Linked DNA regions of Oryctolagus cuniculus. The protein of the gene in region 1 interacts with the protein of each later gene in a biochemical or structural test. Links are inferred from orthologs where the notes say so. Each region holds a gene or a part of one and is shown in the gene's direction. Other genes may lie near its edges.

The links.
Region 2: the proteins of PRPF40A (region 1) and U2AF2 form a complex in vitro, tested with the Homo sapiens proteins (2 studies listed by BioGRID). The link is inferred for Oryctolagus cuniculus from reciprocal best matches to the Homo sapiens genes PRPF40A and U2AF2.

Annotation. Positions count from the first base shown.
Region 1 is NC_091434.1:89,202,174-89,208,968, forward strand, and holds part of PRPF40A (pre-mRNA-processing factor 40 homolog A), read left to right. Parts: intron 1-164; coding exon 165-285; intron 286-522; coding exon 523-576; intron 577-2,400; coding exon 2,401-2,425; intron 2,426-2,940; coding exon 2,941-3,315; intron 3,316-5,724; coding exon 5,725-5,833; intron 5,834-6,330; coding exon 6,331-6,395; intron 6,396-6,750; coding exon 6,751-6,795.
Region 2 is NC_091449.1:3,335,095-3,342,328, reverse strand, and holds the start of U2AF2 (splicing factor U2AF 65 kDa subunit), read left to right. Parts: upstream 1-2,467; 5' UTR 2,468-2,558; coding exon 2,559-2,607; intron 2,608-4,843; coding exon 4,844-4,979; intron 4,980-5,786; coding exon 5,787-5,831; intron 5,832-6,748; coding exon 6,749-6,852; intron 6,853-7,000; coding exon 7,001-7,152; intron 7,153-7,234. Other genes in the region: CCDC106 (coiled-coil domain-containing protein 106), read left to right, coding at 1-11, 495-707, 796-1,112. UniProt on the Homo sapiens protein: Plays a role in pre-mRNA splicing and 3'-end processing. By recruiting PRPF19 and the PRP19C/Prp19 complex/NTC/Nineteen complex to the RNA polymerase II C-terminal domain (CTD), and thereby pre-mRNA, may couple transcription to splicing.

The DNA of each region.
Region 1 (6,795 bases):
ATGGATTTGAGATAATAGGGTTGCTGCCTTAAACAAATTACCTTTTTACGTAGCATCTCCCCAAGTTGTAGAAATAATAAAGGGTGAGAATATGTAGTGAAAACAGTTTGTGAAATTTAGTGATGCTAAATATATTAGTTAACTCGAAGTTTGTTCTTCTATAGCAACTGTTATCTAAATGCCCTTGGAAGGAGTACAAATCTGATTCTGGAAAGCCTTATTATTACAATTCTCAAACAAAAGAATCCCGCTGGGCCAAGCCTAAAGAGCTTGAGGATCTTGAAGGTAAAAATAGGAGAAAATAATGTGTAGTATAATTTTTTTACTTTGATATATCAATCACTTTGAAATAATCCTTCCTGAATAGGATTGTTCAAAGGCCTTTTTTTTTTTTTAAATTAACTGATTAGAACATTTAAAATGGTGTAATAGTTTTATGGGCTCTTATTTTCTTGTTGCTCTAGATCTCAGTTCTATAGATTTTAAATAGATTTTTATTTGATTTGATTCCACTGAAACTAGGATACCAGAATACCATTGTTGCTGGAGGTCTTATTACAAAATCAAACCTGCATGGTGAGCCGCTTTGATAATTATTTTCTGTCATATTTAACATTTTTAGAGTATGTCACTAATATTCACTAACTGAATTGATAAATCTGCAGTGAAAAATCTCTAATACAAGAATTCCTTTCACTTAAGGATTATATTATAAATGAGCTTGTAACTTTTAAAAGTATACTTTGATTTTCTTTAAAATTTATTTGTCATTAAAAAATTAAACAAAAACTTAGAAAATTTCTAAATTCTACTTGAGTGTTGGTAGATACTTGGAACATATGATTTAACCCATTTAATGGTAGTAATTAGAGAACCTTGAATCTATCTCTTTAGTCGTTAGCATGTAGTCAGACATTTAATATTGATTTTTAAAAAAATTTTTTTTATTTGACAGGTAGAGTTATAGACAGTGAGAGAGAGACAGAGAGAAGTCTTCCTTCCGTTGGTTTACCCTCCAAATTGCCACCACGGTTGGCGCTGTACCAGTCCGAAGCCAGGAGCCAGGTGCTTCTTCCTGGTCTCCCATGCAGATGCAGGGACCCAAGCACTTGGGCCATCCTCCACTGCCCTCCCGGGCCACAGCAGAGAGCTGGACTTGGAAGAGGAGCAACCAGGACTAGAACCTAGTGCCCATATGGGATGCTGGCGCCGCAGATGAGGATTAGAAAGTGAGCCACAGCGCCCACCCCCCTAATATTGATTTTTGCTTTAGCATAACATTTTTTATGATAGCTTTGATACATTATGATTGAGTGAAATTAGGTAAACAAAGTAACATGCTGCAGTTGTAAGAATTGTTTTACACTCTGAACTACTCAAAATATTATAGAACCCAAGATTTAAAATAGCAGTGATTCTGAATAAGAATTAAGAATTGAAATTTTTTGGTCTCTTTTTAACTGAATATAGTGTCAAAAAATATACCAAATTAGAAACAACAGCTTATAGGAAAACAGGACTAATAAAGTAGGCATCGATATAGAATAGTATCTGCCACGAAAGGATAAAATTTCATAAAAGGCATTGTCGACTTTAAGTCATTTACCTTTTCTCTGTGCACATTGTATCAGGAAAATGTAAATTTATATTTGTATATTTTATATTTGTAATAACTCTTGAATATGTTTTCTCAACCATTGTTAACAGATTTTCAGATTTCCTTGTTAAAATATTTTCATACAAGCAGGCTTATATTATTACTTAAATGGTACCTCATCCCTAGGATGCTAAATAAAAGCTACTTTTTATCCCCAAAGGAAAAGTTACATAATTGAAAATGAAACTGAAATTTTCATTTATATTTCATTTTATAACTAAAGTTACTAGCATTGGCTAATAAGAATAAAGATAGGTAACCTGCATCCTAGTTTATTCATTTACAGAATATCAAGCTCATTTCTGATATAACCCTAATAAAAATAGTATGCATACCTATTAATGTACTTGTTAATGCTAGAATATGTATGTACTGGAATTTTATAATTGCAGTTTGTCCCATATTAAATTTAGTATCATAAGAAAATTCGAAGTAGTCTCATCAGTGGGAAAAATATTATTCCAGAATTTAGATTTTTCAGGGAGATTTTGCAGTAGCCAACAGCCATTGGGAAAATAACAGCATGAGATAACTTTTTCTGATAACTGTTCTTATTTAAAATTGGTTTTATTCTTTAATTGCTGCTCTACAACTATGGAGCAAGTGTTTGTAAAATTTATTTAAGAATTTTTTTTGGATGTTAAATCCTATTGTAAGATAGTTTTCTTTATTTTTTTCAAAGTTTGTTTTCAGTTACAATATTTAAAACCTAGTAGATGACTTTTCATTTTTCTCTTTGATAGCAATGATCAAAGCTGAAGAGAGCAGGTAAGCTATTTTGAATATCAACATTTATTTATAAATTTGGTCTCCTGTAACATCTTGTTTTAGCTGTCAGTTTTCTTTTAGATCTTGTTTTCTTGTTAGATCTGATGATTTGATGTCTTTAGAGGATTTTATGGGGGAGAAGCAGGGAGAATAATATTTGCTCAGGTTGATACTGATATGAATTAAGAAGACTGTTAAAATGAAGTCCAAAATTTTCTTTCAGTTCATTTGGGAATGGATGAAATATTATATCGATATATTTCTTTGATTATATATGGTTTCCTTTTAATTCATGAAACAGAAATTTTAGAACTTCTTACAGACATAATATATGTCAAATTTAATGATAACAATCTAATTGAGCATTTTGTAAATGAGAATAATTATTGGACTTTCTAGTTTGGAATCACTGAATGTTGGTCCCTTTTCATTTGTTATTATAATTTAAAACCTAGATTTAGATTTATGATTACAGTGATGAAATAACTAGTTTTCTCTCTTTTTTTAATGTATAGTAAGCAAGAAGAGTGCACCACAACATCAGCAGCCCCGGTTCCTACAACAGAAATTCCGACTACAATGAGCACCATGGCTGCTGCAGAAGCAGCAGCTGCTGTTGTTGCAGCAGCAGCCGCAGCAGCAGCAGCTGCTGCTGCAGCCAATGCCAGTGCTTCCACTTCTACTTCTAATACTGTGGGTGGAACTGTTCCAGTTGTTCCTGAGCCTGAAGTTACTTCCATTGTTGCTACTGTTGTAGATAATGAAAATACTGTAACTATTTCAACTGAGGAACAAGCACAACTTACTAGTACCTCTGCTATTCAGGATCAGAGTGTTGAAGTATCCAGTAATACTGGAGAAGAAACATCTAAACAGGAAACTGTAGCTGAGTAAGTTTAGTAACTTGTCTTCTGAAAATCAGTGTAGACGTAATTCAAGAAATTGCTGCTTAATCAGTGACCATTGAGTCTAAATATTTTTGAAAATAAAAATTTTAAGACTTTAGACACTGGATAAATTTTGAGGCTAAGTTATTCTTCTTGCTCTGTTTTGGTTTTTTGGAGGTAGATTAGACACCAAACTGTTGGAAAACTTGTGCACTGAAGTTTTAAGAAGTAGAGCAAAGGATCGGGTGAGGCACAGATGTAAAGGAGTGCCAAAAACCATACTAAAGAAGATATATCCTATTTGAAAGCAAAATATCCATGATTAACAAAATGTCAGTTTTGAAAAAGGATCAGTGTTACTGATTTTTTTTTCTCCTGTGTGGTTCAGCATAGCACTACAAATGCCATAGTTTGTTATTAAAAAGATTTCTTAGGAAAGTTGAAGGAGCTCTGCAAGCTAGAGTACTAAAATGGTTTTGTTTCATTTTTTCTTTGCTTATTTGTAGTGTTTGGTTTTCAGTTTTCTACAAATGAAATAAAACTGCTTTTTTAAAAGCATATTTTGGAAAAGGTAATAGAAGGTGTTTTACAGAGAAAGGAAATCAGTTCTCCAAGAAGTTTATAAGACACTCAGCCGTTATAATGAAACACAAAATAATACTACTATTTTTGTACCATATTAGTAAAAACCAAGCACAAAAGATAGATTTAGCAGAGTATGAGAGTATTTTCATACTGCTTTTGGAGTGAATTGGGATGGCTTTTTAATAAAGCACAGCTCCATCTGTCAAAGTCTACAGTTTGCTTGTACCTGCATACGCTATAGTAATATTTCACATGGCTAGCTATGAAAAGTGAACTCAAGCTGCCCTTGACTTAAGGATGTCCACAGGTATAAAAAACAGCCTTAATCTTCATGGTCCTAACATAGTCATCCATCTTAAGATACTGCCTTTACCCTCCAGTTCTTATTGTAAGTCTTCTTTTTGTGTTCTCCTATGTTATATTTTCCAAAGTGAAAATAGCTTTATAATTTGTTCTATGAAGAGATCCATATGGTATATTTGAAGACATCAAGGTAAAATTAACATAATCTCCATACACTCCATCATGTATTATGTACTATGCATAAATTTAAGTGTCCCCTTACTGATTGACATTTCCACTATTGATAGAATGTTTTGTAATAATCTTTTGCATTAAATCCCTTGTATAAATCAGTGTAGTAGTTGCATATAGTCTGTGCACATCCTTCCATATACTTGGAATCATTTCTAGATTACTTATTATACCCAACAGAGTGTAAATGCCATGTAAATAGTTGTTGTATTGTACTTTTTAGGGAATAATGAGAAAAATGTGTTGTTTAGTGCTGATGCAATTTCCTTTTTCTTTCAAATATTTTTTGATCCATAGTTGGTTGAAACCACAGAAGCAGAGGGCCAACCATAATATGTTCTTCATAATTTTAAGAATTAATACTTGTTTCCTGCTGTTTTTTTCTTTACTGCATTTCCTGATTATAGTGCCTGTCTGTGAGATTTTGATTTTAATTATGTTTATTTAGACCATTTGTAGCTGTTAGTTTTTTGCTGATCTCTTTATAGTACTTTTTGACAGTTCTAAATAGATTTCCCTAAGTAAGCTTACCTGATGTAAAGTGAATATATTTACATTTTTGTCAGAATCTACTTAATTGTCTCCTCCCTTAAATATTTTACTTGAAGTATTTCATGATTTTTTTCTTTTTCCTGCATTCCTCTGTGTTTATATCAGGGTAAATGTATTCTTTGAATGACCCCCAACCAAAACCAGTTAAAAATTCTTGATTGTATTATTTTTATTTTGGATTTGTGTTTGGCAAACTTTTTGATAAAATACCAAATGTAAGTATTTGGGGTTTTGTGTTTGTTAACAATGCCAACTCTGCTGTGGTCCCACAGATTGGCCATAATCAGTATATAAACAAATGAGCAAGGCTGTGTATATTTCTAGTCAGAGTGGGCTAGTTTTGGCTAGTGTAGTATGCTGCATATGCTGACCTTGGTTTAGATTAACCTCTATATCTTTTTTATATTTTTGCAGTTATGCGAAATACTCAGTCATTAACACACTAATATGAAACCATTGAATTAACCATTTAAAATGGTTAGGTTGTAGACTAGTGGAGCTGGTGTTTAATGCAGTTAATGTTATATTTTGGCATTTCTACAAGGTTTTAATAACTATACTTTCAGGAAAACTCTGTATTGCCTTTATTCCTGTGTTTTTAGCATCTGTATATGAGGCTTAATTCCCAAATTGTCAAAATTTAACATCAAATATTATTTAAATAACAACTAAAGGCATTTATATTTCTGACTGAAGCAAGTATTTGTTTAAATTATCAATGACATGTTTACATTTCTCTAGTTTTACTCCCAAAAAAGAAGAGGAGGAAAGCCAGCCAGCAAAAAAAACATATACTTGGAATACAAAGGAGGAGGCAAAGCAAGCATTTAAAGAATTATTGAAGGAAAAGGTATTTGTGTTACAGATTTTTATATGCTGTGTATAAATTACCTAATAAAATGAGTTATTTTTAATGCAAACCTTGATACCTTTATTTAAAATACTGATTTCATGTACTGTTTTTACTGAAAATCAACTAAAATTGTCTTATTTTTTTGAAGATCACTATTTTGAAACTTTGAACAAAAAAACTTGAACAAAACTACACCAGGACATTTCTTCTTCAATATTTAATACAAGGTTTTTTATTTATAGTTATAATTGTTTACCTTTTAATCAAAATTGTAAAGAAAAAATACTCATTCCCTGTTTAAATTTGAGTTCAAGTTCTTTTCAGTTGATAGGTAGATTTCAGAGGTTTCCCATCAATAAAACATTATTTAGAACTTTTCAAAATCCTACAAAGGAAAATTCTTGAGGTTTACAGTGAGTATTGTAGTTGGTTCCCTGTTACATGACTTACTGTGCTAGTGTGAAATTTTAATTCTTCATTTAAATGGTTTTCAGCGGGTACCATCCAATGCTTCATGGGAACAAGCTATGAAAATGATCATTAATGATCCACGATACAGGTAATACTTCATTATTTTATAAACTTTTCACTTTGGCATAGCAAGCCTAGCACATTTAAAATTGTGGAGAATGGTGCAGTTTTTAATTCAGATTAATGTTCATTGTTTTAAGATATAAAGAATAAAGTTCTTTTGTGGATTAAAAAGAAAAAAATCTAAAAGGCTTGTCATTAGATTTGAGCATCCTGTTTTCTATGAAATTACTTATTTTGAATTAGAAATTATTTTCTAGTACCATTTCTTTGATAAATTTTTACAATCTTAATTTATGCATGAGAAAAGTTGTTGGTTTTCCCCCCCAAGTATTAACATTGTATTTTCTTGCCTTCATTTCATGTGTTTTTTTTATATTTAGTGCTTTAGCAAAATTGAGTGAAAAAAAGCAGGCTTTTAATGCCTA
Region 2 (7,234 bases), on another chromosome or scaffold:
CGTGGACGCAGGTGGGCGCGCGGGCCGCGACCCCGTGCCCCTGCCCCCTCCCGTGCTGGTCCAGGACCAGCAGCAGCCCGGCCGGTTTACTGGCGGACCCACGCGTGCTGACCGCCGCCCAGCCCCAGCGGGGCCCCTGCTGCCCCTCTCTCTGCGAGCCCCCTCCTCCCCAAACCCGGCGCCACGCACGGGCCCGTGGTGCCCGTGCCCACGCTGTCAGGATCTGGCTGTCTCCCCCGCGGATGATTCCCGCGACGGTCGGGCCCCTGGGGAGCCCAGTACAGGGCCTTTCCAGCACCCGTGTCCCCGGGGAGCGCCCCCGGTGCAGCTGGAGGCCTTGGCTGTCCCCGGCCTACCAGGCCCAGAGCCCCTGTCTCCCGGGCTCCCACTGCCCTCCAGGGGCTCTGCGGGTCAGCGCGGCCGCCAGGCGTCCGGCCTGGGCCCGCCGTTCACCTGCGGGCTTTGCTCTCCCCCGCCCCCCATCCCACCCCCAGAGGACCACTGCCGGGCCAAGCCGGGGCCCCGGCGGGCGGAGGGGGACAGCCGCGGCGGCGCGGGGGGCGAGGCCTCGGACCTGGAGTCGGCCGCCTCGTCGCTCAGCGCCGCGTCCGAGGAAGGCAGCGCCGGCGAGAGGAAGAGGCAGAGGCCGCGGGCGGGCGCCGGCCGGAGGCGCTTCGGGAAGCCCAAGGCCCGGGAGCGGCAGCGGGGTGAGCGGGGGCCGAGGCCCCGGGGCGCGCGCCCTGGCCCCGCGCGCCGCGGCCCCGGCCCTGACCGCCGCCCGCTGTCCCCCCGCAGTGAAGGACGCCGACGGCGTGCTGTGCCGCTACAAGAAGATCCTGGGCACCTTCCAGAAGCTCAAGAGCATGTCGCGGGCCTTCGAGCACCACCGCGTGGACCGCAACACCGTGGCGCTGACCACGCCCATCGCCGAGCTGCTCATCGTGGCCCCCGAGAAGCTGGCCGAGGTGGGCGAGTTCGACCCCTCCAAGGAGCGCCTGCTCGAGTACTCGCGCCGCTGCTTCCTGGCCCTGGACGACGAGACGCTCAAGAAGGTGCAGGCGCTCAAGAAGAGCAAGCTGCTGCTGCCCATCACCTACCGCTTCAAGCGGTGACCCGTGCTCGCTCAGATCCAATAAAGAAAGACGAGAGACGTGACGCTCGGGCAGACGGCGCCCGGAATTTAAGTTAAAAAATTAAAAATAAAACAGAGACGTGACGCTTTGGCACAGACTGGGCCCCAGCGTTTTCCTCGGAGGGGAAGCGAGGGGTTGGGGAGCACAGGGTGGGGCGAGCCCCCCGGGGGCGGCGCCGTGCGTTAGCGGCGCGGGGCCCGACGACCCCCGGCATGGGCGGTCCCCGGGCGCGGCGCGGCGTGGCACGGCGGCCGTCTGCCGCCAGGGGGCAGCAGCGCGACGTTGGCCGCGTCCCGGAAGTGGTGCTTCCACCGCCTTCCACGCGTGCGCGCGGCGGCAGGGGTGCGAGAGCGCGGACGCAGTTGCCAAGACAACCGGGAGCGGGCGGTCGTGCTTAACGGTCGGGAACTCGGACTCCTTTTAGGCAGGGAAAGCCTCGCGCACGCGCAGTGGGGGCCCTGGAACCCGACACCGCCACCCCGCCTCAGACCGACCTCCGCGCAGCCGCAATAGCCCGCCTCAGCCCCTGCGCAGGCGCGCAGAGCCGCGCTGGCAACCTCCGCAGCGGCCGCGCGCGCCCTCCAGCCCGAAGGCTGCTGCTGCCTCGCGCAGCCGCCTCAGGCGCTCCGGAGAGTCGGCCCTTCCTTCCTTCCTCTCTCCCATCGGGAGAGCCAGGTGCCGAGAGCCCGGACCCCGCCCCCTTCTCTGGACCCGGGCCCCGGACCCACCTCGCCTCCGTCCTCCCTCCCTTTTCGGTTCCCGCCGCCGGAAGGAGCCGAAGCGCCGCCGGAGAGAGCCGAAGCCGCTTCCGTGAGGGAGGGGCTTCCCGAAGCCGCGGCGGAAGGAGCCGAAGCTCTCCGGTAGGGGAGGAGTGCGCGAGCGGACTCTCCGGAAAGAGCCGAAGCCTCTGGCGAGCGCCGAAACCCTCGGAAAGGTCGTCGGCAGTGGCCGATTGCTTAGGCGGGTCCGGCGGAGCAGCGCGGCGGATCTGCAGAGGGAGAGACTGGGGCGGTTGGAATTGTCGGGAGGAGCCGAACCCGCGGAGAGGGCTCTGCGCCGAGGGACGCGAGGACCCGCGAACACAGCCGGACGGCGAGGCGCTGACTTCCGGAAAGTTACGGAAACCCGAGACGCCGGCCAGGTCCTCGCTTCGGGCGTTTTCGGAAACCGCCGAGGCCGACCGTCCGGAAAGAGCCGACGCGCTTCGGAGCCAGGCTCGGGGGCGGGGCTCGCGGGGGTCGGGCGGGGCGAGGGGCGGAGCCTGGGCGGGGCGGGCTGCCGGGGCTTGATTAGGTAGGAGGCGGTACAGCGCCGGCGGCGGCCGGAAGTAGCCGAAGCTAGCGGCGGAAGTAGCCGAAGCGGCCGGAGCGGGCGGGCGGCGAGGCGAGGCGAGCGCTGCACAGGGCCCGACGCGGCCGCCTCAGCATGTCGGACTTCGACGAGTTCGAGCGGCAGCTCAACGAGAATAAACAAGGTGAGGGCGCCGGGGTGGCGGGGCGGCGCGGGAGGGGTGGCTCCTCGCTTGGCTCCTCGGCCCCCGCCATTTTCCCCCTCGTTTCCCATTCCTCGGCGCCGCGCGATCCACCCCCCCTCCCGCGGCGCGCCTCGCTCACGTGACCGCCCGCGGCGCGGCGAGGGGCAGGGGCGGCGGGCGCGGGCCCGTGGCGCATGCGCACGGCGCCCGCCCGCGCCCACGTGGTCCCCGCGGAGGTGGCGAAGGGGGACGCGGCGCGCTGGCGCCGGAGTCGTCGACCCTAGCTCTGCTCGCTCTCTCCCTTTCTTGGCAAAGACGATTAGTATGTTAGATCCTGTAATCCCCTTCTTTTTCGCCCGCTGCTGCAACTCTTCCGCTTCCGGTTGTGCCGGGGCTGCGTCTCCACGCCCCCTTTGTTTCAAAATGGCGGTCTCGGGGACGGCCCCCTCCCCCTCGCGTGGACCGGGGCCCCTAGCTGGGCCTCCTGCGTGTCCGCGCGGAGGTGGGACGGCGCGGCTGCGGGCCGAGGCAGGCAGTGCCCGGCAGCGCCCCGCCGCCCGGGGCTGCGTGCCCGCTTCTCGCGTTCGGCGAGAGTGAGGGCGCCGGGAGCAGCGGAGGTCCAGGGGCCCAGGCCCGAGCTGGGGCGGGGGTGGACGGAGCCCGCCCCTCCCGCGGCCTGCCTGCCGCCTGAGTACCGAGGGTGCGGTGTTCTTTGCTAATGTTTCTGGCTGTAGAGATTCCTCATGGGGCGAGCGAGCCCCGCTGCAGGGAAGCTGCGCCCCTCGCTGGGGGCCGGCGCTTTGTTCGGTCCGCCCGCGTTTCCTCGCGAGCACGGCCCGGGTCCCCCCGCTGCGGGAGGGGCTCGGAGGGCGGACACGGAGTCGGGCGAGCCGGGCCGGCTGCCCTCCCGCCGTCGGCTAGGCCCTCGGCGCACCTGGCGCGCGGGGCGGGACGGCGCCTGCTCGAGCCAAGTTCCGGTCGCGTTCGCGTGGCGTCCTGCGGTCAGCGGGGAGGAGCTGGCGCGGAGTCCGGCAGGTGTGCGGCGCCTCCTCCGGGGCCCACGTGTGCCCCGTGCCGTGCGTGGGTCTTTGTCCCAGCGCGCCAGTCTCCCTGCGTCTCTTGGCGACCTGTGCCTAGGGGATTTCCTTGTTTGCGTCCGGGCGCCCCGCGGGCGTCCCTTTCCTGCGCGCTGCTGAGCCTCGGCGGCGGGACGCCTCCTGGGCCGGTCCCCGTGGGCAGCAGAGCTGCTGGGGCCGGCGCCCGGCGCCCGCGCGGTGCTCGCGTGCTGGCTGCGGGCCGGCGCCCTCGTCTCTGTCTTCCGCACCCCAGCGGGGTTTCTCTGTCTTTGCCTTCCGCGGAGGGAGTGTCGTCGTGCAGGTTGGAGGCGGACTGTCTGCTCCGCCGGCCCCGTGTCCAGCAGTGGCGGGTGCAGGCTGCTGGCGCGCGTCCCGGCCGCCCGTCCTGTGGCCGAGCCTGGGTGCAGGTTCTGGCTGGGGATGCAGGCGGTGCTCCCGGTTGTGCGTGCTTGAGCGTGCGTGGTTGGGGGCAGAGCACGCGCAGCCACGTTGGACAGTGTGTGACACGGAGGCCACGGGGGCGTGGACCTGTCCTGCGCTGCGTGTGGTGGCCCGGTCGGGCCCGTGCCGGGGCGCGCGGTGTCCTGCGGAGGTCCTGGCGGGACCTGGAGTCCCTGGTCCTCGCCCCGAGGGGATGGAGGCATATTGGTCCCGCGTGGCCTGCCTGCAGGAGAGGGATGACTCGAGCGTCCTGCATCCGGGCACATCACATCACGCCTGGCTCCGTGCTCCTGGGCCGGACGTGGGGGGCTGTGGGTGCCAGCCGGTGCCCGCGTCTTTCCTGAGGGGTCGCTGGGTCCCTTCAGGAAAGCATCATTGGGTCTCTTGATTCCCCAGCGTCTAGCCCTGCCCCTCTCAGGGACGACCCTGGGGTCAGGCCCCTCAGCCCTCGAGGGGGACCAGGAGCCAGCCTCCTCTGTCTTCTCTGGCTCCTCAGCCCTTGAGCATCCGCAGGTATCTTCACCCCCGGGGCACTAGCAGGCCCTGTCCGCGGTCCCCTCTGCTGTGGACCCAGGAGGCCTCTTCTCTCCCTTCCTCCTGCAGTCCCTGCCCTTGGGGGTGGCCTCCCTGGGTCTTGGGCGTAGCCACCAGCGTGCAGGGTGGGCTGGGCCCGCGTCCTCCCTCCACTCAGCCCAGCCCCTGCCTCTCGCCTTGCGCAGAGAGGGACAAGGAGAACCGGCACCGGAAGCGCAGTCATAGCCGCTCGCGAAGCCGGGACCGCAAGCGCCGGAGCCGGAGCCGGGACCGGCGCAACCGAGACCAGCGGAGCGCCTCGCGGGACAGGCGGCGGCGAAGGTGCCCGGGCCAGCCTGGGTGTGGGGGGCGTCTGGGTGGCCCCACAGCCTGCGTGGCCTCGTGTCTGTCGGGTGGGGACCAGCTCTCCGCCGAGTCTGGCGTTTCTTTCACTTCCCCGCTGGCGGTGCTGGGGGCTGCGGGTTCTGTCTGCCCCGACCCCGAGGGCTCTCCTTACAGAGACGACTTGATGAAGGGCGGGCCGGGGGCTCTTGTCCTTGGCTGCCACGCTTGGGGCTGGTCCAGGCCAAGGCTAGGACCCCGAAACTCCATCCTGGCCTCCCCGTGGGTGGCAGGGCCCAGGCACTTGAGCCGTCTCCCCCGCGTGGCCTTCCCAGGCGTGCTAGCGGGTTGCGGGCTTGGAGGTGGCACGGCTGATGGCGTGGCCGATGCCCGGCGCAGGGCTGGCTCCCGCCGCGGGCTGGTTGCCTTGAGCTGTTCTGTGCTGCTCTGGGAGGCTGTCTTCCGGGGCTGCTCTGGCTCCAGTCTCTCTCCCCTCCTCGCAGTGGGGCACTGTCTGCAGCCTCGGCTCCCGGGCTCCCTCCAGGGATTCTGCTTTCCCGCGCCCCCCCCCCCCCCCCCCCGCCCAGTGCCTGCAGGGACACTGGTCTGCCCTGGCCCGCCTCCTCCTCTCCTAATCCTGGTCTGGGAGTTGGCGGGGGGAGATGGCAGGGCCGAGGGGGCTGCTTGCCGCTTGTTCTCCTCGGCCCTGCCCCAGCCTTGGGACTCAGTGAGCTGGGGGGGAGTGGCCTGTGGGGCAGTCGAGGGTCCCCAGTCACCCCTCCCCTACCTTTCCCTCCCACCCCCCAGCAAACCTTTGACCAGAGGCGCTAAAGAGGACCACGGTGGATTGATGTGAGCGTCTCTCCTGCCCCTGTGCCCCCGCGTCTACACCTTTCCCTCCCTCACTGCTGTGTGCCTCTCCCTGCCGTGTCCACACCTTCCCCTCCCTCACTGCTGTCCACACCTTGCCCTCCCCCTGCCCGCATCCACACCTTCCCCTCCCTCACTGCTGTCCACACCTTGCCCTCCCCCTGCCCGCATCCACACCTTCCCCTCGCTCACTGCTGTGTGCCTCTCCACTGCCCTCGTGTACACCTTCCCTTCCCCCTGCCCACGTCCACACCTTCCCCTCCTCCTGCCCGCGTCTACACCTTCCTCCTCACTGCTGTGTGGCTCTCCCCTGCCGTGTCCACACCTTCCTCTCCCTCACTGCTCTGTGCCTCTCCCTGCCCGTGTCCACACCTTCCCCTCTCGCTGCCCACGTCCACACCTTCCCTTCCCTCACTGCTGTGTGGCTCTCCCTGCTGTGTCTACACCTTCCTCTCCCCCTGCCCACGTCCACACCTTCCCCTCCCTCACTGCTGTGTGCCTCTCTGTGCCACGTCTACACCTTCCCCTCCCCCCTCCCATGTCCACACCTTCCCTCCTCCCTGCCCGTGTCCACATCTTCTTCTCTTGCCTGTGTCCACACCTTCCCCTCCCTCACTGCTGTGTGCCTCTCCCCACCCATGTCCACACCTTCCCCTCCTCCCACCCACGTCCACACCTTCCCTCCTCCCACCCGTGTCCACACCTCCCCCCTCCTCCGTGCCCGTGTCCAGCCCTGGCCCCCGCTCTGCCTTCAAACCAGCACCCCTCCCTAGGCCTGGGTCCAGATCCCCTCTCCTGGGGAGAGTGGAGTTCGTGGGGGGTGGCCTCTGCGGAGCCTGGGAGGGGCCCTGCGGCTGTGGGTCAGACTGAGGTTGGCCGCCCGCTCTCCCCGCCCCCAGTCGCTCCCCCCGCCATGAGAAGAAGAAGAAGGTGCGTAAATACTGGGACGTGCCTCCCCCTGGCTTCGAGCACATCACCCCAATGCAGTACAAGGCCATGCAAGGTAGGCCCGCTGGCCGCGCCTGGGGGGCTGCAGGAGGGCACCCGAAGTGCCCGTGGGGGTGGGGGTCTCCAGCTGAGTGTGTGGTGGGTGGTGCCCGAGCTCCGCGCCAGGCTTTCCTGACGCCTCGTCTTGTGCCGTCTCCTCCAAGCTGCGGGTCAGATTCCAGCCACTGCCCTCCTCCCCACCATGACCCCGGATGGTCTGGCCGTGACTCCGACGCCGGTGCCCGTGGTTGGGAGCCAGATGACGAGGCAGGCCCGGCGCCTCTACGTGGGCAACATCCCCTTCGGCATCACTGAGGTACTGCCCCTTCTGCCCTCCCTCTCCCCCGCCCCTCCCCTCCCCCGTTCCCTTCCCCCAACCTGCACGGGTCAGACTCTGC